Ovis aries: one gene and its partners. The protein of the gene in region 2 purifies or fractionates together with the protein of the main gene of each other region. This does not show direct contact. Links are inferred from orthologs where the notes say so. Each region holds a gene or a part of one and is shown on either strand. Other genes may lie near its edges.

Region 1 (4,152 bases), on a different chromosome or scaffold from region 2:
CAGGCCCCATTCAGGTTGCCAAAAAGATCATACTAATTAAAAAATGTGACTGCTCCCATGACCTACCAATACCAAGCAAAAAAAAAAAAGAAATAACCTAATACATAGGAAAGCTAACTAATGTTCCTAGGAAAGTGGGCTTTGTCAGAAAATAAATGATTTTGGAAAAATGCAGCTTAAAAACAAACAAACAAAAAACCATACTATAATATGAAGGAAAAAAACAAAAACTAGTCAGTGAAAAGACTGGTAAAAGATAAAATCACTGATGTTACTATCCTGAGAAAAGGAAAAATAATGAAGCCATTTTTCAATAAATGAAATTGTTAAACAACACATTTTTGGTAAAAATATGACAGGGAAAGATATTCGGGGAAGGGTCAGCTTCAGAGCCAGATGTGGGTTCTATCACAGATTCTACTTACAAGAAGACTCAATTTCCCCATCTGGCAAAAATACTACTGACAGTCAGCTGGTACTTGTTACAACATTACTGTTCATAGTTAAACTCTAATTCCACTTCACCTTAAAAACAGCAACTGAAAGGCAAAACATTTAGTTTAGGCTTTAAATTATTCCGCTTTCTGATATTTCCTTAACACTTCTAGTGAGACTGAGACTTTGGCTGCTACTCCAAAATTCGAATGATAGCCTCTTTTGAGAGGCTGACAACAGTGGACAGCAATTTGCAAAGAAGCGCGGTTCGTGCTCAGTCGCTTCAGCTTTGTCTGACTCTGCCACCTCGCCAGGCTCTTTGTAGCGCGCCAGGCTCTTCCGTCCATGGGATTCTTCAGGCAAGAACACTGGAGTGGGTTGCCATGCCTCCCCTCCAGGGGATCTTCCCAACCCAGGGATCGAACCCGCGTCTCTTTTGTCTCTTGCACTGGCAGGCGGGTTCTTTACCGCTAGCGCCACCTGGGAAGCCCTGAGAACTGCGTATTTAACACAACTGCTTTCAGTGTCAAACTTTCAAAGCCCCTTAAACAAGGAAGCGGGAATCCAAGTTAACCCTAGCAATTCAAAACAATCATTTAAAACCTAAAGAAAAAGAAAACAAGCAACACTGACATGAACTGAAAACAAATTTCAAGTCGCTGAAAGCTATAGAATACCAGAGGTCCTATTCCACCAAAACCCACCCTTACCTTTAAAGTTCTTTCAAAAACTAATAACACGTTACCTCACCCTAGATAAGGCCGCTAGTTACACAGAGTAGGACTCCACTGAACTGACTTATGACCTAGTACAGCACCCAAATAAAACTACTGAGCCAAATGCTCTATGGTAAACTGCCCTGCCATTTCCTTATCGTGTTAATTCTGCAGCAACATTCCCTTTCAGAGCAGTATTACCTTTGCTCAATCTATCCAAGGATGGAAAAATTCCAGAAATCTCTGGGTTGCGACTATAAAATATCTCAAAACAGATCGAAGGCCAAGAATAAAATTGGAAGGAGCAAGCAACACTTTGTTCCCAGACATCGCAAAACCTTGGAGCACACCCAAAAGACCCGCCTGGCAGTTCCCCAATCTCTCCACCCTCGCAGTACTGTTACCATTCCCTGACCCACCAGCCCCAGCCCAGAAGGTAGGGAGCCATAGAGAACGGTACCAATTTTCAAAATAAGGCCAAGGCCCCCAAAGAGGAAATGCGCTGGTCTGTAAGCAAACTAACCGCCCCTCACTCACTAATTCATTCATCCATCCATCCATCACTCCCCCCACAAAATGAAATGGGGGTTCAAGACAGCTGCTGCCGCCGTGGTCGCTTCCCTTCCCCACGGAACAGTGCCTGGGAGGAGCCTCCTCTCCCTCCGAGGGAGCAGCTGTGCCCCGCTTATCCCCACTGCGCCCTCGGCCATCCAGCCCTCGCCATTGTTTCTGCGAAACAGATACCGCCCCCGCAAAGAACGGGATGAAGAAAAGGAGGCCCAAGCCCTCGGATGCGCTGCTTTTAAATGCCTTCCCCACCCCGCCTGTCTACCCCCGTACCTAGAGGGAAATTTCCCTCGCCCTCTCCCCAAGTTTAGCGGAAAGTAAAATCGAGATTCAGAGATGAGCGAGGGAATTATGGGAGTCCAGCTTAAAAAAAAAAAAAAAAAGGGTAGATCTTCACTCGGCCTCAGTAATCAAGAACATGTGTCTAATAAGAGCGTTCGAGGATTTGGCAAGGTTCGCCAAAGAGACAAATAATATAAACGTGAAGTGCCAGAAATCCACTTGAGGTTGCCTGGATTGCTTACGCGCAAGGGTGAGAGCATCATTTCCGACCCAAACGGTCTGAGGCCGTGTTGGAGTGCGAAGGGGTGAAGTTTGGCTCTGCGTCTCATCACTAGTACAGAGGCGAGGGAACCAGTTCCTCCTCCCCATCCTGCCCTCTTTCCACACCACGAGCCGCCCTCACCTCCATCTCCGAGTCCGCGGGGCCGGCGCTGGCCACGGAGGGAGCCGCCTGGGCTGCGACGCCCTCGGGGCCGCCTTTGTTGCTGCTGTTGCTCCCGCTGCCGGCGGCCGAGGCTGCGGGCTTGGAAGGCGCGCTCTCGGGAGGCGGGGGTGGCGGAGGGTCGGCCGCGGACGACATGATGTTCCGTCTGCGTCACCCGCTGCTGCCAGAGGCCGGGTCCGGCAGGGAGGAGGAGGAGGAGGCCTAGGCCTGGGTGGCTGCGTCGCAACGAGCAGATGGAGAAGCGAGAGGACTACCCGAAAGCCCCCTGCGCCGCGGCTCGGCGACGAGCCCAAACCAGGCCCAGCAACCTCCCCCTCTGGTCGCCCTCCTCTTCCGCGGGGCTCCGGGTTCGACCGGCGCTTTACCCCACGGCGGGAATCACGTCGACGAGAGTGGGCGGGGCCACTCGGGTCACTGAGGTCAGGGAAGGCGGGCTGATTCACAGGAGGGCGGAGGGTTGAGGGAAAAAGAAAGGAAAGCAAAGGAGGGACAGAGACTGGGAACTGGCTTAGCTGCCTCCTCTTCTTCCTCTGGTAGATATCATCTATCTCGCCAGCACTCAGTTCTACTACCTACGCCACCGACTATCAACACTCGCGAGATTGATAGTTGGCTACATGACTGGGCTCCGAGTGCGCATGCGCATTCTCCCCTCTTTGCCCTGGGCCACGCCTCCTTCGAGGCCCCAGAGAGCTCTTGGGTAAGGAATGGGCGGGGCCTCGAGGGAGAGATTGGAGACGTAGGTTTGTCCGTCGGCTTCCCGGCATGACGCGAGCGCTGTCTTCCAGGCGTTCTTAACGGCTCAGGGTCCACCGGCGCCTGGTCTGCTCTGCTTGGCAGGGATCTGCGGCACTCCCAGAAAACTTGCCCAGGTTTTGCGCCGCCTACTGCAGTATAGAGGCCTGTGCAGGCCTTAACACTTTCGCTGCCGCCGCTCATAGGTGTGACGCCAATGTGTTGAAGATGGTTTAGTTATCCCAGTTGACGTCTCTTAGGTTTTGTTGTCTAAACAAAAGGGCCCGTTGGTGTAATATTTTTTTGTCTACACGTTAGCTATAAGAATCATTTCTAAATTCCTTCTACTTCTCTTACAGAGTTAAACGATATTTTCTCTGAATTTACGTGCTAAACATAAGCAAACTGCCCATCACCATGTGAATGAGAGTCATAGATAAGAGTCATAGATAATCGGTAGATAAGAGAGGCCATGGGCTGTATCTTTTGCTCAACCACTAAATATTAAAATGTACAGACTGCTGTGCATTTCTTTCTCCTTAAGAAATACTTCGAATAATTTCCAGTGGTTACGCCTTCCACTGTCCTCAACATAGCCTGTGGGTCTTGCGCACGGATCTGCTGCAGGTTATCAAGAACATCGTGTTCTACTCAATAGAAAATCGTACTGCTGTGAATTGTTATCTGCCCTGCACAGGCTCTTATCCATCTTTGTATCCCCATATCCAGTATTCTATCAGTATGTATTGAATAGCGGAGACACACTTTTCAAGAGTTAAGATTTGAGCAAACTGTTGATTATGTTGAATTTCAAATAGAAGAGCTCTCCTTTGAATCTGTAGCCTGCAAACTTTTAACTGATCAAATGATAATTTTTAAGTTGAGATCTGGAAAAATGCCCCCCAGCCCATTAGAAATACTGTTTGTGAGACTATAAGGAACCATCTAAGGATATATGAACAGAAAAATACA
Region 2 (3,500 bases):
TTTGGTAAAAATCCTGTAGCAAAGTTAAAAAACAAAACATTTAGAAATAGTTAAATGTATCATTTGGCTCTCCCTACTCCAAGATTTTAAAGGGTGTCTCACCTTTTTCCTTAGTACGTTTTAAACATTTTTTTTTAAACATTTCTCCCTTTGATCCATTTGGCGTTTGCTCTGTCAGGACTTTAGCTCCAGCTCACCCTCGCATCTCCAGGGCTGCTGTTTCCCCACCATTGTCCGCAGGCCCCTCTGGGGCTGCCCGGAGCTGCACTTGGTCCTGGTCAGCACAGAGGCTGGGCTCTGCTTCTGATCCCAGGGTCCTGTTCCTTGAGGCTGTCTGTCTGGGGGCTCCTGGCCATCTCAAGGTCTCCTGGCCATTTTCGTTTTTCTATGTAAATTTTAGAATCAGTTTGTCTAAATTAAAAAGAGTCTAGGTATGTTTATTGGAATCGCATTAAATTTATATTACCTAAGGTAAAACTCACATTTTAAAGAAAGGGTTCTATCTAACTGTCCGATAACTCTCCTTTTGTTCTTTAATTTCCTTTCAGATTCTCTTCCCGTAGCTCAAGTAAAATGACTGTTGCTGTAACTTTTTGTTGTCTAGTTGCCAAGTCGTGTCCAGCTCTTTTGCAACTCCATCTACTGTCACTTAGTCCTGACTTAGTGACACCTTCTCTCTCGAGACCAGAGTGTGTGTACATGAGGGTGTACAGACCCACATATGTCTTCTTCCATGAACTGCGGCAAAATATCAGTCTCTAAACCTACCATGTACTGGAGGAGGCATCCAGGCTCAAAGCCCGCATGTGCCTTTGGCTCATGATGACCTTGTGTCTGGCCTGAAGTAACTCCTTCCCCTTATGTGGCCTCTACCTTCCATGTGCTCAGCCTTTATGTTGACATTTTAGGGGCCCTCACCCGCGCCAGTCCAGGGTGAAATCAGTCATATGGTGTCAGTCTTGTTCTGGGACCTGGGACCGGAGCCTTGAATTTCCAGTTTAAAAGCATAACTTTGTTCGTCCTTTCTCTTCTCTCCTCATCAGCCTGTCATTTCCCGTTTAAGTTCTATGGCTAGAAGGATGGCTTTTTACATATATGTTTTGGAGTGATTTATTTCATGAATCCGTCGCTTGTTTTCATCCATATAACTTCTCATCGTGTGTGATTCTGGGTGGGGCGTTTCTGGTGTTTGCCTGTGTGCTCTGGAAGCCAGCACCCCAGGCTGTCCCGCCCAGCTGCTGTGCTTCCATCCTTGGTTAGGGCACCAGTGTGCTGGAGTGTGAGTCTCTCTGGTACGTTATTTGGGCGTCTTAAGTTTCAAACACTATATCTTGCCAAAGCCGTTTTATCTGACTACTATTTTTCCCTGCAGAAGTGCTGACTGCAGGCTCCCCCTGGGTTCTTGAATTGTGTGTGATTCGTAGAAACTGACTTGTAGAATTCCGAGGCTGTCCTCACTGTCTTTGAACCCAGGTTTTTAACAAGCGGTGTCCCAGTCTGTTCCCCCATTTGACAAGCTAGGGGCTGACTTCTTTAGAAATCAATAAGTTGTAGATGTCAGGATTCTTCTGGTGAAAAGAGGAAACTGATTTCTGTGTAGAGGATACATCAGTTGTTTCTATGGAGACATTAAAGACTCAAGTAAATGTTTATGATCAGAGCTCAGGTGTTCTGGGGGAGAGCTGAGGGGATACATGGTGAGTGTGCAGTGAGCCTGAAGGAAGCTCCAGAAGGTGAGCCACATGTTAGCAGGAGTGTGATGATGGGTCCTTGACTTTTTCCTTTGGAACAGGAGGAATGAGAAAGTAACTAGTTTACTTTATGTTTGGATGTTTTCTGTTTATTTTGCAGCTTTTCATGCAACACCCAACACTTACAAGCGGAAGAACACAGAGACGGCCCTCGACAATAAGCCTTGTGGCCCCCACTGTTACCAGCACTTGGTAAGCACATGCGGGGGGTTCTGGAGGGAGTGGAGAAGTCTGAATTTTGAATTTTCGTGAGATCTGTGAAGTCAGCGGTAAGCTGCTGTTCCCGTACTGTTACTGGCCACACGATAGGCAGAGGTTTTTCTCAGCCACGTTTCTTGGGAGCTCGTACCTGCTGCACACCCTAGTCCTTTGTTACCTTGCGCTATTCTCTACCAGCGTTAGTCTCTTCAGCAGTGGATGCAGGTCTTTAGGATCCGAGACTCTCGTGCCTTCCGCCAACCTTAGAGCTTGGGAAGCACAGAGAGCCCGCCCAAACCCCAGCAGCACAGAAGTGTCCGAGCCTTGCTCAGAGCCATCGCCCTTCTGTGCAGACCTGCTGTAGTTTAGCGCATTATATGTAGCTCCCAGAGATGAGGGGTGTGTGTGGTGTGTTTTTTTTTTTTTTTTTTTTTGTAATGATGGAGAGAAGGTAAGGGTGTAGGAAAATATGAGGTAGAAAAGTTGCTTTTTATGGGTACTATCTTATTTTTACCATTTCCCCTCTTTGAACCAAGCCACTCCTACCTAGGAACTAAGTGGGTATATATTGCCTGTTGGATTTTGGACAGAAGATTCATTGAATGGCACCTACAGAAGGTATCCTATTTTTAAGCAATTTGGTTTTTGTAGAATGAAGTATAAAACTGTTGGCTGCTCTCAAACTTCTCCCTTCTATTGCCACTAAAAATGGAATTCTTGAGCACTGTTGTATAATATTCTTTACAAGGCAGCATTTTATTTGGCTCACCTAAAGTGTGTCTGTGGTCTCTATAATCCGTGCTCTTACCGTTGTTGTATACTTTCCGAGATGGGGTTATTGCGCCTGGCAGCGCAGACTGTGACCCTCACTGCCTGTCCCTCAAGGGCCTTTCATGTCTTCCTGGGGCTGTGCATCCCTCACAGGGGAAAGGGGGCAGAAAAGGGACGGATGGAGCACGTGTATGTCTTGTATTCTTCTTGTATACTTCCAATGCTACCATAGATGAACGAGTGTTAGCTTACGAAGTCCCGAGACAGGAAAGGCTGACTTTAGATGCACACTGGGTGTATGGCTCCTCTTAAAGTTCACTTTTAAATAGACTGTGTTTCCTAAAATATATTCTGTATTTTAACTCCTAATCTCAGTTAATACAGAACTGTCTTGCCTGAGTTTGTAGAAGCCATATTTATCTTTCTCAAATCTTCAAACCATGGAAAGCAGATAGGAAGATGATTGTCTTTAGATGTGACTGCCTGTGAAAAGCAGATACTGATAAGTCTGACTAACATGCTTACCCAATCCTTTCCTTCCTCCTCTGCCAGAATGAGCTGTAGAACTTGACTTTGATGTCTCCGCTCTTGCTGTTGTAGGAGGGAGCGAAGGAGTTCGCTGCGGCCCTCACCGCCGAGCGGATCAAGACCCCCCCGAAGCGCCCCGGGGGCCGCCGGAGAGGCCGGCTTCCCAACAACAGCAGCAGGCCCAGCACCCCCACCATCAATGTGCTGGAGTCGAAGGACACGGACAGTGACCGGGAGGCGGGGGCTGAGACT
Region 3 (4,069 bases), on a different chromosome or scaffold from region 2:
TGTTTTAAAAAAATAAATACGTGTTTATGTTGGAGTGCTTTTCACTGACAGGAAGTCTGGAACCACTGCACTGCCCTGCACCAAAGCTATGATGAGGTCACCCCACGATGAACACCCCCCCAAAAAACACCTGCAAAATCAACATCTCCTGAAGGGCTGGCGTGTGCGCTCAATCACGTCCGACTCTGTGACCCCATGGACTATAGCCCACCAGGCTCCTCTGTCAATGGGATTCTCCAAGCAAGAACACTGGAGTGGGCTGCCAAGCCCTCCTCCAGGTCCCGAATCCATGTCTCCTAGGTCTCTTGCATTGGCAGGGGGATTCTTTACCACTGCGCCACCTGGGAAGCCCCCTGAAGGGTTGGGCACAAATGATTTCAAGTGGCATGAGGAGGAACACTTATTATTTTCATAATCGTATATGTATTGAGTTTAAAGAAAATTAGGAAAATGTATATAACCAGCACATCAAACCTGGGGTTTCTGGGATACAGAATGACTCATGTTTTCAGTTTTCTGAACAGTTAATTTACAAATACATACGTATGAACAAAACCACCTCCGAAAAATTGAGAGCTCATTACATGCCAGACTCTAGAGAGTGTTAAACCACTTCCCATACTATCTTTCCAACCCTCACAACAATTCTTTGAGCTGGCACCACTGTCTTATCTGTTTCTCAAGTTGGGGGACCTACTGGTAAGTGTCCTGCTTGAGGTCAAACTAGAATTTAGAGCTGACTGTGAATCCAGGAGGTCTAATTCCAGAACTAGCACTCCATAACACCACCTCCTATTAACTACTACCCCACACCCTTACTGTTGAGGGAATGAGGTTTGGGGAAAATGGCCTGGAAAGCTTTAGAAAAAAATTAAAAAAGAAAGCAAAACACAGCGCCAGCAACTAATATTTATTGTCTGCAACTCGCCCTCAAGTCCTGGGCCAAGCACTTCACACACAGGGCTACTCAATCCTCAAGAGTACCCTCCTCCTTCATCCACAAATGTTCCCTAAGGGCCTACTACACACTGGGCCAGGGTACACTAAAAGAGATTACACAGACAGCTCTGATGGCCCTTGGAGAAGAGATGTGTAATTACAAACAGGAGTAACTCCTAACACAAGAAAGGATCAAGATGACCATGTGCAAAAGCAGCAGAGGGGAGCAATGACTGGTCCCAAGTGGTCCAACACAACCTGGGGGTCCTCCCTAACCCTGAGTAAAAGCCCCCTCTTCCATGCAGCTACCTGATCTCTGGTTCCCACCACTGGCACCAATCTGCTGTGCTCCTCACACATGACAGGCCTCTAGTTGTTCCCACACTTACCACCTGTTCCCCTACAAGACTGAACAGGCTGCTCTGGGCACCCAACCTCCAACTACCAAACACCCAGCTGGGGCTCAACAAGTATGTGTTGAACAAGAATGGAAGAGACTGGACTGAACAACAACGATAGTGCTTCCCTCTTGACAGGAACCATTTTACAGGCTTTCACCGGCTCCATCTGTGCCATTATTCTCATTTCACATATGAGGACACTGAGAAGTTCCAAAAGATTAAGCTATTTGCCTCCTGTCACACAGCGAAGTGACCAGCAACAGCCAGGAGTCAAACTTGAATCAGGCCTGTCATTTAAAAGTGAAAACTTGTTTCAAATTCTTAGGAAGTGGCTCTCACTGCTTATTCCCTACTTTCCCCAATGATTCACTAGGGGGGGAAAATATCAAGACTAGTGTCTTCAAGACCTTCACAAAATACCTTCTCCTGAAAGATTCGCGTTTTAAATAAAAACCTTAATCTGGAAAATCGATTGGCAGAAAGGGGTAAGGACGCAAAACTAAAACAATGCTTTTAACGGCAAACAGTTCTCTCCGTCCTTCCCCACTGCTGCCGACCCCCGGCTTCAGGGCAAACGTTCTCAAGTCACTACTTGCAAGGGGTTAGCAGAGTTATTTACCTTTCCTTGAAAATCTAAAACGACGTGACTTTTAAAAAAATAACCATTCAGGTCGGCTAACCCAGGGGGGCTGCTAATGTTCGTGTCCGGGCGACGCTGGACACACCTGGGGTTTTTCCTACTGAGCTCCGACTGCAGGCTCGCCAAAAGGCAACATTCGAGTCGGACCCGTTAGAACGTAACCAGAAAAGCCCGGACGTCTGGCTATTGTTGCAGCCCCGGCGGACACCGGGATGTGGGCCCCTGGACCGCCGACGGGGCAACGCGCTTTGTCCAGCGACCCCGGCGAGAGCGCGCGCGGGGGGCGCGCGGCCTCCACGCGGCCCTGGCCCCCACCCCGCCGTCCCGCGGATACTGTAGTCGCCGAGGCCTCGCTGCCTGTGGCCTTCCCCGCGCGCGCGGTGCCGGTCAGGCTTCTTGACCCTCGGGCGCCGCCGTACCCCGGCCCGGCTCCGGGCGCCGGCGGCCCCCTCCCCCCTCGGCGCCCCGGCTCCATTCAAACCGTCCTCCCAAGCCCCGCGCCGCGCTCCCCCCGCGACCCACGTTCCTTACCGGGAGTCGCCGGCGCCGTCGCCTTCCCGGCGCCGCCCCCGCCCCTCCACGCGGGGCCGGGGGCAGAATGGGCTTCTCGCTTCTCCTCACGAAACAAAGAAGCAGCCGCCGCAGCCGCCGAGCGAGGGTAAGCCTCGCGCGCGCGCCCGCCTGCCTCAGCCGCCCCCCCACGCTGCCCGCGCCCCCGCTGCGCGCGCACTCGCCACCTCCCCTCCCCCCACCACGAACTCCCACTCGCTTCCGCTGCTGGCCCGTCCTCGTGCGCGTGCCCGCCCGCCCTTCCGCTCCTAGGGCGCGTGCGCGTCTCGCCGGGGTTGTCTGGGAGAGGTGGGTGGGGCCAGAGAGAGCTAGAGCGCCCGACGCGCCTCCCGACTCTGTGTGGGACGGTCATGCGCCTGCGCGCGGTGGTCTCCGTTCCCGCACGCCGCGCGTCTCAAAGCCGCCGAGCATGCGCAGAGCAGGCGGCACTGCGGCGGTGGTGGAGGTGGAGGTGGCAGCGGGAGGTTGGGGGATGGGGTGGGTGGTGGAGAGGTCTGCGGGGAAAGCGTGGCCGAGGGCCCCTGAGACTCAGAAGTGAGGCTTCCAAGGTCGTGCATGAAGGCAGGAGGCGGACAGGCTGGGGCCGGGGATGAGCAGAGCCGGCCCCTGGGCCAAGTGCAGGTCGATGTTCGGATGATGGCGGTGCCCGTTCGGCAAAGCCTGTTACGCAAAGACCGTGGCTATCTTTTCCGCACAACTTACCTAGGGCTATTAGTTTAGCAGATAATCTATTGACCTGCCCCACACTGAGGTACTGTAGTACCGAAGAGAAATCTCAGCCTCTGTGGCGCTCATGGTTTAGTGGGAGAGGCAGGCGCGAGGCAAGAAAACTTAAGTAAAATACACTGTGTTGAAATGGACACGTGAAGGGTCGGGGAAGTTTTAAATGGGGCAGCTAGGGAAAGCCTCTCTGCGAAGACATTTGAGTCAAGACATAAAAGCAGTGAGAGAGAGAGAGCTTTGTTCCAAGTGTGAAGGCCCAGAGACTAGGAGGCTTCATCTCTTAAATTTTGAGAGTATCTCTTGAGTCTGTATTCGTTGTTTCTAGCCCCACAACTGGACAAACGGTTCCCAGGGCCAAGTCCTGGAGCCTGTGACTCCCTACCCCTGCTTCTCTCAGGCCTTCCCCCTCATTTTTCAGGTCTCAGCTGACTCATCACCTCCCCTGGCCTTGCCCCCTCTTTGATCACCACCTCCTTTTCTTTCACATTTCTTGGGTAACCCCTTTAGTATCTGTCTCCCTAACCTCAATTTAAGTGGCGCAGTGTTGTCAATTTTAGTCCCTAGTGAAGAATACCCAATATCTAGTGTGGGGCCACCCTCTGCAACACACTAGACACCTTAAAAATATTCTTTTTTAATTGAAAATATATTAGCTTCTATGGAGTGTGTATCACCAGCACTTTGGGCCTTTCCAAGCCCAAGGTGAGGCCCTTAGAGCATAAAGCAGCAGCTAATATCTTGGCCTGAAGCCAAAAAGACCTGCGTTGAAAACCTGACTCTCCTTAGTACCTGGGGG
Region 4 (3,500 bases), on a different chromosome or scaffold from region 2:
GCGTTTTCGGGCCAGTTCTGGGGGCCAGGAGCTAAGAACCTGTGTCGGAGACTGTTGTCCACTATTCTAGGTGCTGCTCCCTTTTTTCTTAGCCGGTTGGATAGATGGCGGCCTGTAACCTTGTTAGAGGTGCTTTAGGATCTGTGGCCTGCACTCTGGGTAGAGGTGATGAGGAAGCTGAGTTTCAGAGACTTGCTGTGGGCTTCCATCCCGCAAGGAAGGCCAACCTTTTGGGTGTCAGAAGGTTGTGTACTCTGACACAGTACCGCCAAACTTTTGTTAAACCTTAGCTCTGATGATTGAAATCCTAATGATTGAGGGAGTAACTCAGGCCCTCATGTGGGGTCACCCTTCAGGGTGTCTTGGGTATCCTTGTCTAGGACATTAGAATGGCGTCTTGCGAACTGTGTCATCCCAGGGTAGTGTTAGGAGAGGTGGCGTTTGGACGTGGGGCCAGGTGATCATTTGGGAAATCTATGAGAGAGTAGTCTTTTCCCCTCCGGCTACCTCTCTCCACCCAACCCCCCTCCCCTGCTACTTCCTGTCTGTCCTCTGTTGGCAGCTGGGTGCCCTGGGCTGGCTTCTGTGGTCAGGAGCCATTTTCCCTCTCTTCAGTGGATGAGGCATTCCCTCCTCCTCCACTCCCTTCTCCACTCCCCCCTCCTTGGGCGGGGGTGGCTTGGGAAGGAGGGAGGAGGGAGCTGGTGCGCTGGTATGAAGGTCTGTTACAAAGGAAGCTGCCTCCTGGCCTTCTCCCCCACCCTTGGTGCCCCTTCCCACCTATGCCTGCCCTGGAGCTCTCAGCATTACCCCAGGCTTTGTGTGTGCTCCTAGCCGGCAGGAGGCGGAGCCAGATGGGAGGAGGAAGGGGGGGGAGATGGTGACAGCTGGGCTGATTTGGGCCCCTGGGGAGAAGAGGCTACTGACCCAGGAGAAGCTAGGAAGGAACAGTAGAGCTGGAGATGGGGAAGGGAAGTCCGATTTGGGGGTGGGCACGATACTAGGCTGGCAGCTGAACCTGGGGCTTAGAGTTTCTGGTGGTTTTGAGCAGTGATGAGCCAGAGGGGGTTAGTGAAGGATGTGGTTTCCGGGACCACTGAGCAGGTACTGTTCTGGGAATGTGCTGAGGGTGTTGTCTTTGGTTGTTGTTTTCTGGGTAGGATTTTTCATTCTCATTCATGGTTTCTGGAACATAGGAGGGCTGGACCTGTTTCTTTCCCTTGGTTAACTGTATGCAGCTTGATTCGGCTGTCCTGGTGAACGTATAGAGGACTTCTGCTCAGGGTCTGGGGAGCTGCCTGAGGTGGGCCCACTTTGGCCCTGCAGGCCTGTTTCAAGGATCTCCAGCTCTCTGTCTGTTTCTGTCCCGAGTATCAGCTTCCACTGGTGGCGTGTGTAGCAGCTCTCTCCAGTGGAATCTGGGACAAGAGGTGGGGGAATCAAGACTAAAGCCTCTGGATTAGGCGCTAACCTTTTGCTATTGATCTCTTCCCTGCATACCATTCTTTGCTAAATAAATGTAGAAAACGAAGAGGACCCAGAAGAGGACTTGTCAGAAGCAGAGACTCCAAAGCTCAAGAAGAAGAAAAAGCCTAAGAAACCTCGAGACCCTAAAATCCCTAAGAGCAAGCGCCAAAAAAAGGAGGTGAGTGGGTGACTGATGCCATGGGGAGTAGGAGGAAGGCAGGAGGAGCCCTGAGAAGGGCTGGAGGGCTGCGGCCTTCGCTCGCTGGCCCTGGAGTGGGTTGCCAGGTCCCAGGCATCGCCTCGGCGCTGTCCTGAGGCCAGCATGTGTGTAGCATGTGTGTGTCTGTCTCCCTCTCCCCCCTTCCCTGCTCCAGCGTTTGCTCTTATGCCGGCAGCTGGGGGACAGCTCTGGGGAGGGGCCCGAGTTTGTGGAGGAGGAGGAAGAGGTGGCCCTGCGCTCAGACAGCGAAGGCAGCGACTACACCCCTGGTAAGAAGAAGAAGAAGAAGCTGGGCCCTAAGAAGGAGAAGAAGAGTAAATCCAAGCGGAAAGAGGAGGAGGAGGAGGACGAGGACGACGACGACTCGAAGGTGCCTGCGTTTCCACCTTCTTCTCTGTTCTTTGCTTCCCAGACACTCTGCTGCCCCTGAGATTGAGTTCTCTCCTCCTGTTTCTAATGATTTGCTCTTACCCTCAACTTGCCAGCCTTAGTTGTGGCTCACATCCTCTGGTGAGTGTGGGCACTCGGAGTCAAGCCTTGACCCTGCTCTCTCTACAGGAGCCTAAGTCATCCGCTCAGCTCTTGGAAGACTGGGGCATGGAAGACATTGACCATGTGTTCTCTGAGGAGGATTATCGCACCCTCACCAACTACAAGGCCTTCAGCCAGTTTGTTCGGTAAACAGGAGGGTCTTGGGGATGGCATGGAGTGCACTTCCATTATCTCTTGTTGCTTCCATCGCCATCTTTTATTTTTAAACTTTTCCTCTTTTCTGTTCCTGCTGTTTCTCCCCCAGACCCCTCATTGCTGCCAAAAACCCCAAGATTGCCGTCTCCAAGATGATGATGGTTTTGGGTGCGAAGTGGCGGGAGTTCAGCACCAACAACCCCTTCAAAGGCAGTTCTGGGGCTTCTGTGGCAGCGGCTGCAGCGGCGGCAGTGGCTGTGGTTGAGAGCATGGTGACGGCCACTGAAGTGGCACCGCCTCCACCCCCTGTGGAGGTGCCTATCCGCAAGGCCAAGACCAAAGAGGGCAAAGGTGAAAATGGGACCCAGTGGAAGTGGGGGCTAGTGTGGTTGGCAGACGTGTGGATGTGCTGTTCTGTCAGCCCAAAGATAGAAGCCAGGAGGGAGGAATGAATCTTGGGTTAGGAGGGAAATTTGGGAAGCTCAGTGTAGAAATGTTTTAGGTGGGGCGTATTTTGTTGGCTTGGCCAAAAAGTTCCTTCGATTGTTTTCCATATGATGGCTCTAGTCTCGTTTAGTTGTCCTTTTTTTTTTTCATTTGAAACAGTTTTATTAGGTCGTATTGTGATGGTTGTCATATCAGTGTGCATTTAAAAAAAAAACTACCAAAATTGGATTTTTGTGTAGTCATTTTAGTATTGAAGACAAAAGAAGAAAGGCAACATTTTGGCATATTACGCTTTATTATTTCAAGAAACATGAAAAAGCAACTGAAATGCAAAAAAAGATTTGTGCAGTATGGGGAGAAGGTGGTGTGACTGATCGAATGTGTCAAAAGTCATATGCAAAGGTTTGGGCTGGAGGTTTCTCGCTGGACTATGCTCCATGGTTGGGTAGACCAATTGAAGTTGATAGTGATCAAATCAAGACATTAATTGAGAACAGTCAACACAGTAATGTGAAACAGAAGAGATCGTGAGGCAAGTGAAATGAACCACCACCAACTACATCAAAGACTGGTCTCCATCCTAACAAAGGTGATGTTGTGTTTGTGGTGGGATTGGAAAGGAGTCCTTTATTAGCTCCATCAGGGTAAGGCAAGATTGCATGTTTCTTTGATGACAAGG
Region 5 (4,065 bases), on a different chromosome or scaffold from region 2:
TGTGGGACAAGCCTGATGCTCTCAGGAGAAGCAGGGTCCAGCTCCAGCTCTGTCCCCTGCTGTGACCCTCAGGCCAGTCCTTTGACGCCCGTGTACCTCACTTCTAAGACAGCCTGAGACTTTTGGCCCACCCTCCCTCAGAGCGTTGTGAACAGACTCAACGGAACAATGGACGGGAGTCCTGACACCCTCAGCACCTTGTGTGGGATTAACAAGGCCCATTTCTTGCAGATGGGCAGCTGAGGACCCTATGCAAAGCAGTGTGGACACGGGCAGCCATGGGATCTGAGGCGCTCTGGGAAAGGAAATGGGAGGCTTTTTCAAAAAAATGTTGATATGCTTGGTGGGGGGTCTTAGTTGCAGCATGTGGGATCTAGTTCCCTGACCAGGGATCACACACCCCTGCATTGGGTTCAGTCTCAGCTGGTGGGCCGCCAGGGATGTCCCAGGATGTCAGGGCCCAGCCCCGCTGCAGCAGGTGCATCCTCTCTTCCAGAAGCTGGACGTGGAGGATCCAGACAGTGCCAACGCCTCCTTCTACAGCACACAGTCAGCTCCAGCTTCCCAGGCAGGCCCGAGAGCTGCCTCCTCCACCCAGTCTCTAGCCCGCCTGGGCTCTCCCGACGACGGCAACTCCACTCTGCTCAGCCTGCCTGGCTACCGGCCCACCACTCGCAGCTCTGCTCGCCGTTCCCAGGCCGGGATGTCCAGTGGGGCCCCTCCAGGTGAGGGGACTGTGGGGGCCTGACACCCAAACATAAAACTGGAGACAGATCCTGACACAGCCAAAGCACAAGCCGTGATCTAGCACCTCACCCCTCTCCTCCCTACCTGTTGTTCACCCAGGGCCTGTGCTAGGCAGTAAGGCTGATGTCATTCTCAGCCAAAGGCTTCATGAGGGGCGGGTGATTCCCTGCACAAGAGTGCTCCAGGCCCCTTCTCAGGTGGGGAGGGGCTGCCAGGGGTGCCAGACTGCCAGGGGTCTATCCTCAGATTCCTTTCTGAGGCTCTTGCCTTCAGGGAGCGCTCTGGGTATGGATTCCTGGCCCTCCAATAGTTTCTTTTGGTGTCACAACCTCGGCATGGGACCCCAGGGAGGAGGCAGGGAGCCAGTCCCCAGGGAAGAGATGGTTGTGAGCCTCGTGCCTGTAGCTGCAGCATGGAGCAGAGCAGGACCCTGGGGTGCTGGAGCCTGGAGTTCAAGGGCTAGGAGGACAGGAGTGGTGGCACCAAGGCCGGTGGGGTGCTGCCTCCACCCTCTCGTGCTGGCCTTGCAGCCCTGCTTGTTGCTGTCTCCCTGCCCCCGCACAGGCAGGAACAGCTTCTATGTGGGCACCTGCCAGGACGAGCCTGAACAGCTGGATGACTGGAACCGCATTGCAGAGCTGCAGCAGCGCAACCGAGTATGCCCACCGCACCTGAAGACCTGCTACCCCTTGGAGTCCAGGGTGAGCTCTCGGGTTCCCTGCCAGGGACCCACCCCTGCCGACTTCCCTCTTTCTCCTGGACCTCCCTCCCCAGTTTCCCAGCCTGCCAAGGAGGGGGACCTGCTTCTGGTCAACTATCAGGCAGGGAGGAACTCAGGAGGAGGTTCTGTGGAGGGCTGGAGTTTGCAGAGGTCTCTTGGGATGGCTCCTGTGGCTCTGGTGCAGGGTGTAGGCAGGAAGACAACAGCGGGGGAGCCGTTTGCAATAGGAAGGCTCCAGATGCCTGGCCAGTGAGGAGTTCTAGGGCGGTCCTGCTCCATCTCCAAACAGCTCAGTCAGGTCCACCGACCACTTCTTCTACCCCACACAGCCTTCCCTGAGCCTGCCTGCCATCACAGATGAGGAGATAAAAACTGGCGACCCCCGGGAGACCCTGCGCCGAGCCAGCATGCAGCCAACCCAGATAGCTGAGGGCGCCGGCATCACCACACGGCAGCAGCGCAAGCGGGTTTCCTCAGAGACCCACCAGGGTCCCGGCACACCTGAGGTGGGTGGCTTGGACTTTGGTCTTCTCTAGCGGCCGCCACGTCTGCGAGTCTATTAGCGGGGAGTCTCCTGGTGCAGGAGGGAGACAGGTGCTGGCTGGACATGGTCCATTTGTCTCTCGTGTTCTGGACCTAACTGTCCTCTTCCCCATAGTCAAAGAAGGCCACCACATGTTTCCCGCGCCCCATGACCCCCCGGGACCGACATGAAGGGCGCAGACACAGCACTACCGAGGCCCAGAAGAAGGCCGTTCCAGCTGTTAAACAGGTTAGCCGGGGGTTGAAGGGAGAACCTGGAGGGGCCCAGCCAGCTGAGCCCTAGAGCAACTGTGTGGCCAGTGGTGCCCCCGGTCTGACAGCCCTTTCCAACAGGCTGACCGCCGCCAGTCGATGGCCTTCAGCATCCTCAACACGCCCAAGAAGCTTGGGAACAGCCTTCTGCGGAAGGCAGCCTCAAAGAAAGCCCCCTCCAAAGCCTCACCCAATCCCCGCAGCGGGACCCGCCGCTCTCCGCGCATCGCCACCACCACAGCCAGCGCCACCGCCACCCCCCGGGCAAAGGGCAAGGTGCGGCACTGACGGGAGGGTTCGGCTCCTAGAAACCCAGTAAGGAGCATGGGTGACCCCCACCCAGCCACCCCAGGGCTCTGATTAGGCCCCTGGAGGGCGAGGGCTGAGAGCAGGTGCTCCTCTCCCCTCTGGTTAGCTGCTCCTCCTCGAGGAAAGCAGACGATAAAACACCCAGAGCTGCTCAGGTGAAACCAGCCCCTGCAAGCCTGCGGTAGATGGGTCCAGGGCTGCAGCAAGGAGACCACCCTAGTCCAGGCATGTGGGAGCGGGAGTGGGTGCAGGCTGGCGCTGAGCAGCTGTCTCTCTCTCCCAGGCGAAGCACTGAAGAGCCAGTGCCAGTGAGCGGCCCCGCCGTGTTCCCGATGCTGCCCTCGCCTGGCCCTTCTCCTTCTGTCCCTTTCAGTGCCTTCTCTCAGCTCCCAGGCCAACAGTGGCCCAAATCCTCGAGACAGTGATGCCTGCCCACACCCTGGCCGGGACCCGGACCATCCCCAGGTGAACAGCTGTGTCCTCCAGAGTGGCCCAGAGCCTGGGCAGTCTGGGTCCTCTCCCTGCCTTGCCTCCTGATGTTTTCCTAGAGTAAAGTCACTTCTCCATCGTAACCAGATTTGAGGCTGGCTTTGTGTGGCTGGGTCCTTGGGCCTAGCCAGTCCTCCCAGCCTCTGGATCTAGAAGGGACCATTGGAGGAGCAGGCCCTGGCCCCTGCTGCTCCTGGCCGCTGGGCCTCGCAAGGGCCCTTGCTCTTGAAGTCCAGGACTGGGCACTGACCTAGTGGGAGCACCCCACCCCCAGGTGCATCCATCCACCCAAGGACCCAGTTGCCCAAAGGATGCTCTTTTCCAGGAGAAGGGCCCTGCACCTTGGAGGGTGGGGGGCAGCCCTCAGTGGCAGCTCCCATTGCCCACCCTCCCCAGATTTGCGCTGGGGTGGGATTTGGAGTGATGGGAAGGTTTTTAAGGGCCAGAGATGGATCTTTTCTAAATGTTATTACTTGTAAATAAAGTCTATTTTTCTCCCTTGAATGCCAAGATGCCTTGGTCTGTGTTGGGGAAGCAGGGAGACTCCAGACCACCTACCTTCTCTCAAACCCCTCCTCCCAGCCTCTCTGGGGCCACAAGATCTTCCACTGTTTCTGGCCTCTGCTCCTGAGGAGCGTTAGCGAAGTTGCTTCAGTCGTGTCCGACTCTGTGCGACCCCATAGACGGCAGCCCACCAGGCTCCCTGGGATTCTCTAGGCAAGAACACTGGTTGCCATTTCCTTCTCCAATGCATGAAAGTGAGAAGTGAAAGTGAAGTCACTCAGTCGTGTCTGACTTAGCGACCCCCATGGACTGTAGCCCACCAGGCTCCCCCATCCATGGGATGTTCCAGGCAAGAGTACTGGAGTGGGGCGCCATTGCGGGCCGGCATCCTGTGATGCGAGGGCCTGTGTCCCTGAACCTGGCTTTGTCTTCGGCTTCAGAATGGCATCCTCTCTCACTCCATACTCGCTCCTCACACTAGCCGCACTCTGTGCTGGAAC
Region 6 (3,500 bases), on a different chromosome or scaffold from region 2:
TCAGCTTCAACAAAGCTCATTTAACTAACACACGCATTTTCTCTGTACGGCACATCACAGCCTGGCACTTGGAAGCACTAGCCAATACTCAGCACTGTGCTATTCTAACAGCAAAATCATTCACAAAAACACAGAAATTGTGGCACTAAGGAGACAGTGACTGGACACATGTTTACAGTATAAAAACTGAAGCATGAAGACAGTGCTGTGCTTTCTTTAACCTTAGGTGGCAACTCAAGCTCTGTTCCACTCAGCGAATGTCTTCAGATGACTATGAAAATGCTAGGAGTATTGATTTTGAGTTTATGAATAAATTTTAGCAAGTGGCTGAGTTTAGAGATGTGGAACTCATGAATAGTCAGGATTGACTGTACTTTTTAAAGTTCTAATTTAAAAATAAAGTGAATTAGGTCATGAGGTTATCTTGTCCCTTTGTATATAAAAGAAGCTCACATATGCTGCAAGCTTTTTGCTTTTTAACCTTAGACTACAAAACATGTATTCTTCCACATGCTGCTTAAGTTAAGGTCAGTTTAAAGACAAATTTACAGAGTAAGCAGGATTTCAGGTTCTCTGATTAAAGATTGGTTCCTGGTATAGCGACTTAGCACATACATATTTATGTATTTATTAACAAAAGACACTCAGTGTTTTTTCACAGTATGATGTGACATACACAAGTTGTATTGTTCACATTTGTGCAGGCTACCTCACTGGTAGCCCCATGGACAGGTCAATTGGTCTATTGTCCTTTCTCTATTAAAGAGCTCCAGGCATTCCTTAAGAAGCATCTACTACTCTTTGCCTCAGTTCTTTTTCTGTAAAGTGAATGTTTGACCTAAAATTAAATTGATTAGGAAAGTAAAATTTAAAGATGTGAACTAGGCATCATCTACTCCCTGGTGCATGAGTGGAAGGAAGGCTGTGAGCATGACTTGTCTGGACTTAGTCATTGATTTTGAGAAACAAATTTGTTTTCAGTTAATAAATTTTATAGTAAGTGGTTCTCATCTAAAGATATACTGAGTAGGTAGAAATTTAAATTCTTGTTTTATAAGATTGTGAGATAAAGTATCTTTTTTTTCTTTCTTTTGGCTTTTTTTTTGCTTTTGTGATCATGTTTGCATTCTGTGGCCTTCCCTGCTGGCTCAGTGGTAAAGAATCTGCCTGACAATGCAGGAGACATAGGAGATACAGGTTCGGTCTCTGGGTCAGGAAGATCCTCTGGAGAAGGAAATGGCAAGCCACTCCAGTTACTCTTGCCTGGAAAATCCCATGCACAGAGAAGCCTGGTGGGCCATAGTCCATGGGGTCGCAGAGTCAGACAGGACTTACGACTATACTACAACAACAGCAGCAACATTTCATTCTGTAAAAAAGTATCACTGAGCAGATTGTGGCTGTGTTATTTATGGGTAAATAAGCACGGACAGAGGAGCCTGGCAGGCTACCGTCCATGAGGTCACAAAGAGTAGGACATGACTAAGCGGTTAACACACATGTAGGCAAAGCATAGTGGTCAGCATGTCTTATTTCTTTCCTGTTCATTCCAATTCAATTGAATTGAATTTGTGAATGAAGTTTTCACATGCCAGTCCTTGACTTCCAGGCCGAGCAAGCTGCCAAGGTAGAAAAGATGCGACAAAGCATCCTGGAAGGGCTGAACTTCTCCCGGCAGAGCCACCCACTCCCCTTCCCACCGCCAGCGGCGCTGCCTTTCTACCCCACCTCTGTGTACCCACGGCACTTCGGGCCCGTCCCCCCGGCCCAGGGCCGAGGGCGGGGCTTTGCAGGTGAGTGTGTCCACCACTGTAGGTACAGACTTGCTAGTGTGGGGAGACAGACACACACATAACATGCAGGCCTTCTCAGTGAGCTGTATCCTGCTATGTTGAGACCTTGTAAATAATTCTCAGCCTTAGTTACGAAGTTTGCAGCAACAGCTCTTCACATTAGAAAGGAACTTGATCCTGGAAGAGATTACGTTATGGGAAAGGGAGTGGGAGCTATAGAAGCTATTGCAGAGATATGATATTTAAATTGGTCAGTGTAGCCAAAAACTCTGCTGACATTTGTGGTTTTAGATTTTCTCATGTTGTGGGGTCAGCGGGGCTGTCCTCCATTAAGGCTGCCTCCCAAGCCTGTGGCAGAGCCCATAGCAATAGTGTTTGGTCTCCAGAGTCTCCTCCAAGAGCAGGCAAGGTGACATTTCTGTGTTGCTGGTGAGCAGAAGGGTCAGGAGGCTCTTCCCTGGCAGCTGATGGTGTAAGAACAACTGAAGGATATGGGGGTCTCTCTGCCTGAAAGCCCACTGGTGGCTTTCCCTGAACCCAGTTCCTCATGGCTTCTCCCATCTCTCTCCACCCGGGTCCCACAGGAGTCTGTGGCTTTGGAAGCCCCTATGGGGAAACTGTAGCGACAGGCGCTTACCGTGCCTTCCGAGTGGCGACAGCAACAGGACACTGTGGAGCCTTCTCAGGCAGTGACAGCAGCAGGACTAGCAAGTCACAGGGCGGTAATTATGCCACAACTCCTCCTGGAGCTTTTTTCCACCAGCAGCTTCCCGCTCCTTCTGGCTCTTCTTCCTCCTTGTCTGTCCTGACTCCAGCACCAAGTCCTTTCTGATAGGCCCCCCACTCTGGTATTTGCTGCTGCTCATCTGCCAGCCTCTGCCTTCCCCCAGGTCTCTGCGGCAGCTTTGCTCTGACCCATCTCTGTCTTCCAGCGGGACCACTGTGTCCACACACAGCCCTTCTGTGCACCTGCCTCCTAATCATTGCCTCCTATGATAGACAGGTTGCCCATTCATTCCTGGGGACGTTTTTTTTGCCTTCGTGTTCTCTAACAGCCCTCTCTAGGTAAAGAGGATCATGCTTGTGTAGAAGAATCTAAGGGCATTGTACAGTTCTTGGCATAAAAGAGTTTTTCATAGTTTGTTTCAGAGAAATATTAGTAAAGGAAAGTCTAATAGTCTGGTTTAAATTTCCATTGCTTCTCTTCTTATTCATATTAGGCTTGTGAGGGTGAGAAAAAGTCTTAACCCTGAGTTTTGAAATATTATCTTGTGATTTTGCTGTACTTTGAAGCCCATGACTTGTAACTTTGTCATAAATGCCTCATTTTGGGACTGCATATCTAAACCTGACTGTCAAGTCTGTGTTATAGGATTACTCAAATACAGTTTTGAAGAACTTTTAGGATAGGCAAGCCTTTCTTGATCAGAAATATTTTTCCAGTTGAGTTACTTGGGTTCTTACAGAAGCTACTAGAGACATCTTTTGTAATAGTAATACTCTTCTGGCTGAACGCTGCCCTCTCTCTGTAGCTGTGGAAGCCACTTTTCTTCTGCTGGACTTGCATGCCTGCTCTTGCCTCCCCTTAGTTTTCCTGGCTTTCCAGGGTGCTTTCCTCATGTTACTGTGCATCACACAGTGCACAGTAATGTGTGTTCTCTGCTTTACAATCAGCTTCAGCTTTTTGCAACCCTTGCCTGGAAACTC
Region 7 (3,500 bases), on a different chromosome or scaffold from region 2:
GAAACTATTCAAGAAGATTATAGGATAATTTGTAACTAAAAAGAAAATGTCTAAGCTTAGTTTTTTTCTGTTTAAACATAGAGCAGAGAACTTCTGACAAGCTTTCTGTGGGGTAGTATAACATGTTGGTGATATTAGGCAAAAGTGGAGAGTAGACTGGTATATACTTTATATCAGAAGCCATTTAAGTAGAGAAAACTCTCACCTACTAAGAGCCAAGAACTTTGCATATTAAGTCACTTACTCCTCACTGCAATCTTGTGGAGCAGTAGTCACCCTATTATACAGACAGGGATACAGGGAAACTGAACACAGAATGTAGACGTTTGAGGCAAGAGGTAATCAAGTGCTAGAAGAAATTTTGATGCTCATCTATTGACTTAATAGTGTGATGGTATATAATAGCTCGATTAGAGTGGCGTCTTCTTTTGGTATTGGGAAGCATTAGGTTTCTTCTGGCTTGCAGGGACTTGTTTCCCTGACCAAGGATAGGACCCTGGCCATGGCAGTGAAAGCAGAGGGTCCTAACCACGGAACTGGCCAGGAAGTTCCGTTACGAGTTTACATACTGTGTTTGTTTTGGTTTTATAAGTGCACCTCCCTTCTTTTCTCTTAATTCTTATTTTTTTCACCCTAATCTTAGGTTCCATACCCCATGAAGTGCCTCAGATATTGATTAATAGGGAACCTTTGCCTCATCTGCATTTTGATGTAGAGCTTCTTGGAGACTGTGACGTAATTATTAATGAACTGTGTCATAGGTTAGGTGGCGAATATGCCAAACTTTGCTGTAACCCTGTGAAGCTTTCAGAAATTACTGAAAAACCTCCTCGAATACAAAAAGAGTTGGCACATTTGTCAGAATTGCCACCCACACCCCTCAATATTTCAGAAGGCTCAAGTTCACCAGAAAGAACTTCACCACCAGATTCTTCAGTGATTGTCGCTCTTTTAGACCAAGAAACAAAGAGTAATGTCGATGATGCTGATGTGTCTGAATCAAAAGACCATGGCACAGAAAAGGCACAGCAGGTGCAGACTTCTGCTAGAAGCATTGGGAGTGCTGACGAACAGTTGGAGAGTCCAGATTTGCAGAATGCTGTCTCCGATTCTGGGGAGAAAAATGAAAGAACTTCAGTTGCTGAAACAGTGAGAAAATGCTGGCCAGCTAGACTTGCAAAGGAGCAGATTAGTAAACGCCTTGATGGTAAGAAAGGCTGTTGGGCCATTTTGAGGGTATAACTATTATTTTTTTTGTAAATTTATGTAATTGGAGGCTAATTACTGTCCAGTATTGTAGTGTTTTTTGCCATACATTCACATGAATCAGCTGTGGATGTTCATGTGTTCCGTATCCTGAACCCCCCTCCCACCTCCCTCCCCATCCCATCCCTCAGGGTTGTCCCAGTGCACCAGCCCTGAGCACCCTGCCTCGTGCACTGAACCTGGGCTGGCGATCTGTTTCACATATGGTAATATACATGCTTCAGTGCTGTTCTCTCACATCATCCAACCCTCGCTTTCTCCCACCGAGTCCAAAAGTCTGTTCTTTACAGGAATCTCTTTTGTGGTCTCGCATATAGGGTCATTGTTCCCATCTTTCTAAATTCCATACATATGCATTATATTGTATTGGTGTTTTTCTGACTTACTTCACTCTGTACAATACGCTTCAGTTTCAAAGGAATATTTGCAGGAAGTGAGCAATTTTGGCAAGCTAGTTAGTGTTAACTTCATGCAGGTAAATTTTAATAGTTGATTGTGTTTAGAGAAACTAAATTTGAGATTTTAAGCTAGAAAAAGATAAACAGTATCTTCAATAATACGGGGAAGAAATGGTGTCTTAACTGTGCCCTGTACCTTGAGTTTCTCTAGGGAGTGAGAAGTTAAGCATTTAGCTGGGACTACTGAGTGCTCCCCTGTTCTCTGCTAAGAGTTTTAGATGGTGAAAATGACAAGATTTGGGTGCTTACGGAGGGGCAGTGACTTGACATATTTTCTGTTTCAGTATCTGATTTCAGTTAGGGACGAGACTATTCCTTCTCAGGTACAGGTGGGAAAACAAGGACCACAGAGATTAAATGTCCTGTCCAAGGAAACAACTGGAGTGAAGAAGAGCCAGGTAGATTCCAGGTTCTGTTAACCTGTTGCTGTTTCAGATCTAGGAAACATCTGGTTCTTCTCCACTGACTATCAGAAATAGCATCTGCTCTGTTTTGACTCATGAAAAGTCCTTACCAATTTGTATTAATATGGATGAAATCACTTTCTACCTTTTAAGACCATTGTGCACAAGTATTAACCTATGGTGAAAAACCTTAAGACAGAAAATTGTGCTCTTAGATGCAGCAATCTTGTCCTGCTTAAAACACTCTTCACTCACCATACATTGTGAAAACTGGCAAGAAATTTCAGACAAATGTATTGTGTGTTCTAATCATTTGCCATAAATAAATTTTAGTTCAGTTGAATAAGCCTTTGGGTATTTCCAAACTAGGACTGCAGCAAGTTCGGGAAACACCCATCCAAGCAACTGATATTTGTGTATAATTACAAAAATGGGTGAATGGGGGAAAAAAAAAGGTGAGAATTTTAAAAGGTAGATGATACTTAGTGGGCACTAGGTTATAGAAGGCTTAACTGTAAGTTGGTGAAGTCTTCCACGGGGAAAACCAGAAAAAGCATAGAATACTTACGCTTATCAATGTGGCAAAAGTCAGAAGTAGAAAAATTGCTGTTGATTTAGTCAGGTAAGTCTCTGTTGTATACAGTCTGCTCGTGTGTTCGTCCTTTGTGTCTTGACTGGTTTTTTGACCCCATGGACTATAGCCTGCCAGGCCCCTCTGCCCATTGTATTCTCCAGGCAGGAATACTGGAGTGAGTTGCCATTTCCTTCTCCAAAGTCTGCTTCGGCACTCACAATATTCTTTGGCTCTTTGACAGATGGGTCAAATGTATAAAACTCTGCCCCAGAAAATTGGTATACCTTGGTTTTATTCTGCTAATTTAGACCTTTAAAGATACAGGCTTCAGAATTTGACTGCATTGTCATATCTACCTCTCATAGCATTGTGAGCATTTGAAAAGATAACTGATGAATGTAAAACTTAACACTTTTAACTGCTTAAACCAAACAACTGATGTTTACTCATTTTCGTTTGCGACCATTTGTAGTGAGGTCAGGGCTGAAAAGGAGGAAGTTGGAACATATAAGAAGTAAAATGTGAATATCGTAAAGGTAAGATTGCCAGTAGGACAGAAACAGGTACAGGGTACTTGAACTGAGAAATAGATTGTTCAGTTCTTCAGGGGGCCAGGGCAGAATGAACTGTTTTTTAATAAACCTGTAAAAGGGCAGGACAGCCATGTGCTGGGACCCCTTAGAAGACTGGCTCCTAGGATGTGATTTAGAGGAGATGGTCCTGTTAAAAATCACAAGATGTGGTGGTCTGCCAGCAGCTAGAATGCAGGTACTCAACTCCCTTCTCCAATCACTGACA

Evidence for each region.
Region 1: the proteins of EZH2 (region 2) and SMARCA5 purify together in Homo sapiens (affinity purification with mass spectrometry, with the first as the bait; 3 studies listed by BioGRID). This does not show direct contact. The link is inferred for Ovis aries from reciprocal best matches to the Homo sapiens genes EZH2 and SMARCA5.
Region 3: the proteins of EZH2 (region 2) and SMARCA4 purify together in Homo sapiens (affinity purification with mass spectrometry; 4 studies listed by BioGRID, with this or other methods). This does not show direct contact. The link is inferred for Ovis aries from reciprocal best matches to the Homo sapiens genes EZH2 and SMARCA4.
Region 4: the proteins of EZH2 (region 2) and CHD4 purify together in Homo sapiens (affinity purification with mass spectrometry; 5 studies listed by BioGRID, with this or other methods). This does not show direct contact. The link is inferred for Ovis aries from reciprocal best matches to the Homo sapiens genes EZH2 and CHD4.
Region 5: the proteins of EZH2 (region 2) and NUMA1 purify together in Homo sapiens (affinity purification with mass spectrometry; 3 studies listed by BioGRID and IntAct, with this or other methods). This does not show direct contact. The link is inferred for Ovis aries from reciprocal best matches to the Homo sapiens genes EZH2 and NUMA1.
Region 6: the proteins of EZH2 (region 2) and FAM120A purify together in Homo sapiens (affinity purification with mass spectrometry, with the first as the bait; 3 studies listed by BioGRID). This does not show direct contact. The link is inferred for Ovis aries from reciprocal best matches to the Homo sapiens genes EZH2 and FAM120A.
Region 7: the proteins of EZH2 (region 2) and SIRT1 purify together in Homo sapiens (affinity purification with western blotting; 3 studies listed by BioGRID and IntAct, with this or other methods). This does not show direct contact. The link is inferred for Ovis aries from reciprocal best matches to the Homo sapiens genes EZH2 and SIRT1.

The regions. Positions count from the first base shown.
Region 1 is NC_056070.1:14,460,760-14,464,911, forward strand, and holds the start of SMARCA5 (SWI/SNF-related matrix-associated actin-dependent regulator of chromatin subfamily A member 5), read right to left. Parts: upstream 2,801-4,152; 5' UTR 2,581-2,800; coding exon 2,404-2,580; intron 1-2,403. UniProt on the Homo sapiens protein: ATPase that possesses intrinsic ATP-dependent nucleosome-remodeling activity.
Region 2 is NC_056057.1:113,168,873-113,172,372, reverse strand, and holds part of EZH2 (histone-lysine N-methyltransferase EZH2), read left to right. Parts: intron 1-1,851; coding exon 1,852-1,943; intron 1,944-3,320; coding exon 3,321-3,500. UniProt on the Homo sapiens protein: Polycomb group (PcG) protein. Catalytic subunit of the PRC2/EED-EZH2 complex, which methylates 'Lys-9' (H3K9me) and 'Lys-27' (H3K27me) of histone H3, leading to transcriptional repression of the affected target gene.
Region 3 is NC_056058.1:13,255,570-13,259,638, reverse strand, and holds the start of SMARCA4 (transcription activator BRG1), read right to left. Parts: upstream 2,801-4,069; 5' UTR 2,512-2,800; exon of another isoform or gene 2,440-2,511; intron 2,370-2,439; exon of another isoform or gene 2,315-2,369; intron 1-2,314. UniProt on the Homo sapiens protein: ATPase involved in transcriptional activation and repression of select genes by chromatin remodeling (alteration of DNA-nucleosome topology).
Region 4 is NC_056056.1:209,654,748-209,658,247, forward strand, and holds part of CHD4 (chromodomain-helicase-DNA-binding protein 4), read left to right. Parts: intron 1-1,523; coding exon 1,524-1,645; intron 1,646-1,841; coding exon 1,842-2,057; intron 2,058-2,245; coding exon 2,246-2,364; intron 2,365-2,483; coding exon 2,484-2,725; intron 2,726-3,500. UniProt on the Homo sapiens protein: ATP-dependent chromatin-remodeling factor that binds and distorts nucleosomal DNA. Acts as a component of the histone deacetylase NuRD complex which participates in the remodeling of chromatin.
Region 5 is NC_056068.1:50,370,775-50,374,839, reverse strand, and holds the end of NUMA1 (nuclear mitotic apparatus protein 1), read left to right. Parts: intron 1-496; coding exon 497-725; intron 726-1,311; coding exon 1,312-1,448; intron 1,449-1,797; coding exon 1,798-1,974; intron 1,975-2,126; coding exon 2,127-2,240; intron 2,241-2,344; coding exon 2,345-2,539; coding exon of another isoform or gene 2,540-2,551; exon of another isoform or gene 2,552-2,566; intron 2,567-2,855; coding exon 2,856-2,867; 3' UTR 2,868-3,565; downstream 3,566-4,065. UniProt on the Homo sapiens protein: Microtubule (MT)-binding protein that plays a role in the formation and maintenance of the spindle poles and the alignement and the segregation of chromosomes during mitotic cell division.
Region 6 is NC_056055.1:28,019,594-28,023,093, reverse strand, and holds part of FAM120A (constitutive coactivator of PPAR-gamma-like protein 1), read left to right. Parts: intron 1-1,609; coding exon 1,610-1,793; intron 1,794-2,377; coding exon 2,378-2,515; intron 2,516-3,500. UniProt on the Homo sapiens protein: Component of the oxidative stress-induced survival signaling. May regulate the activation of SRC family protein kinases. May act as a scaffolding protein enabling SRC family protein kinases to phosphorylate and activate PI3-kinase.
Region 7 is NC_056078.1:23,655,092-23,658,591, forward strand, and holds part of SIRT1 (NAD-dependent protein deacetylase sirtuin-1), read left to right. Parts: intron 1-643; coding exon 644-1,207; intron 1,208-3,500. UniProt on the Homo sapiens protein: NAD-dependent protein deacetylase that links transcriptional regulation directly to intracellular energetics and participates in the coordination of several separated cellular functions such as cell cycle, response to DNA damage, metabolism, apoptosis and autophagy.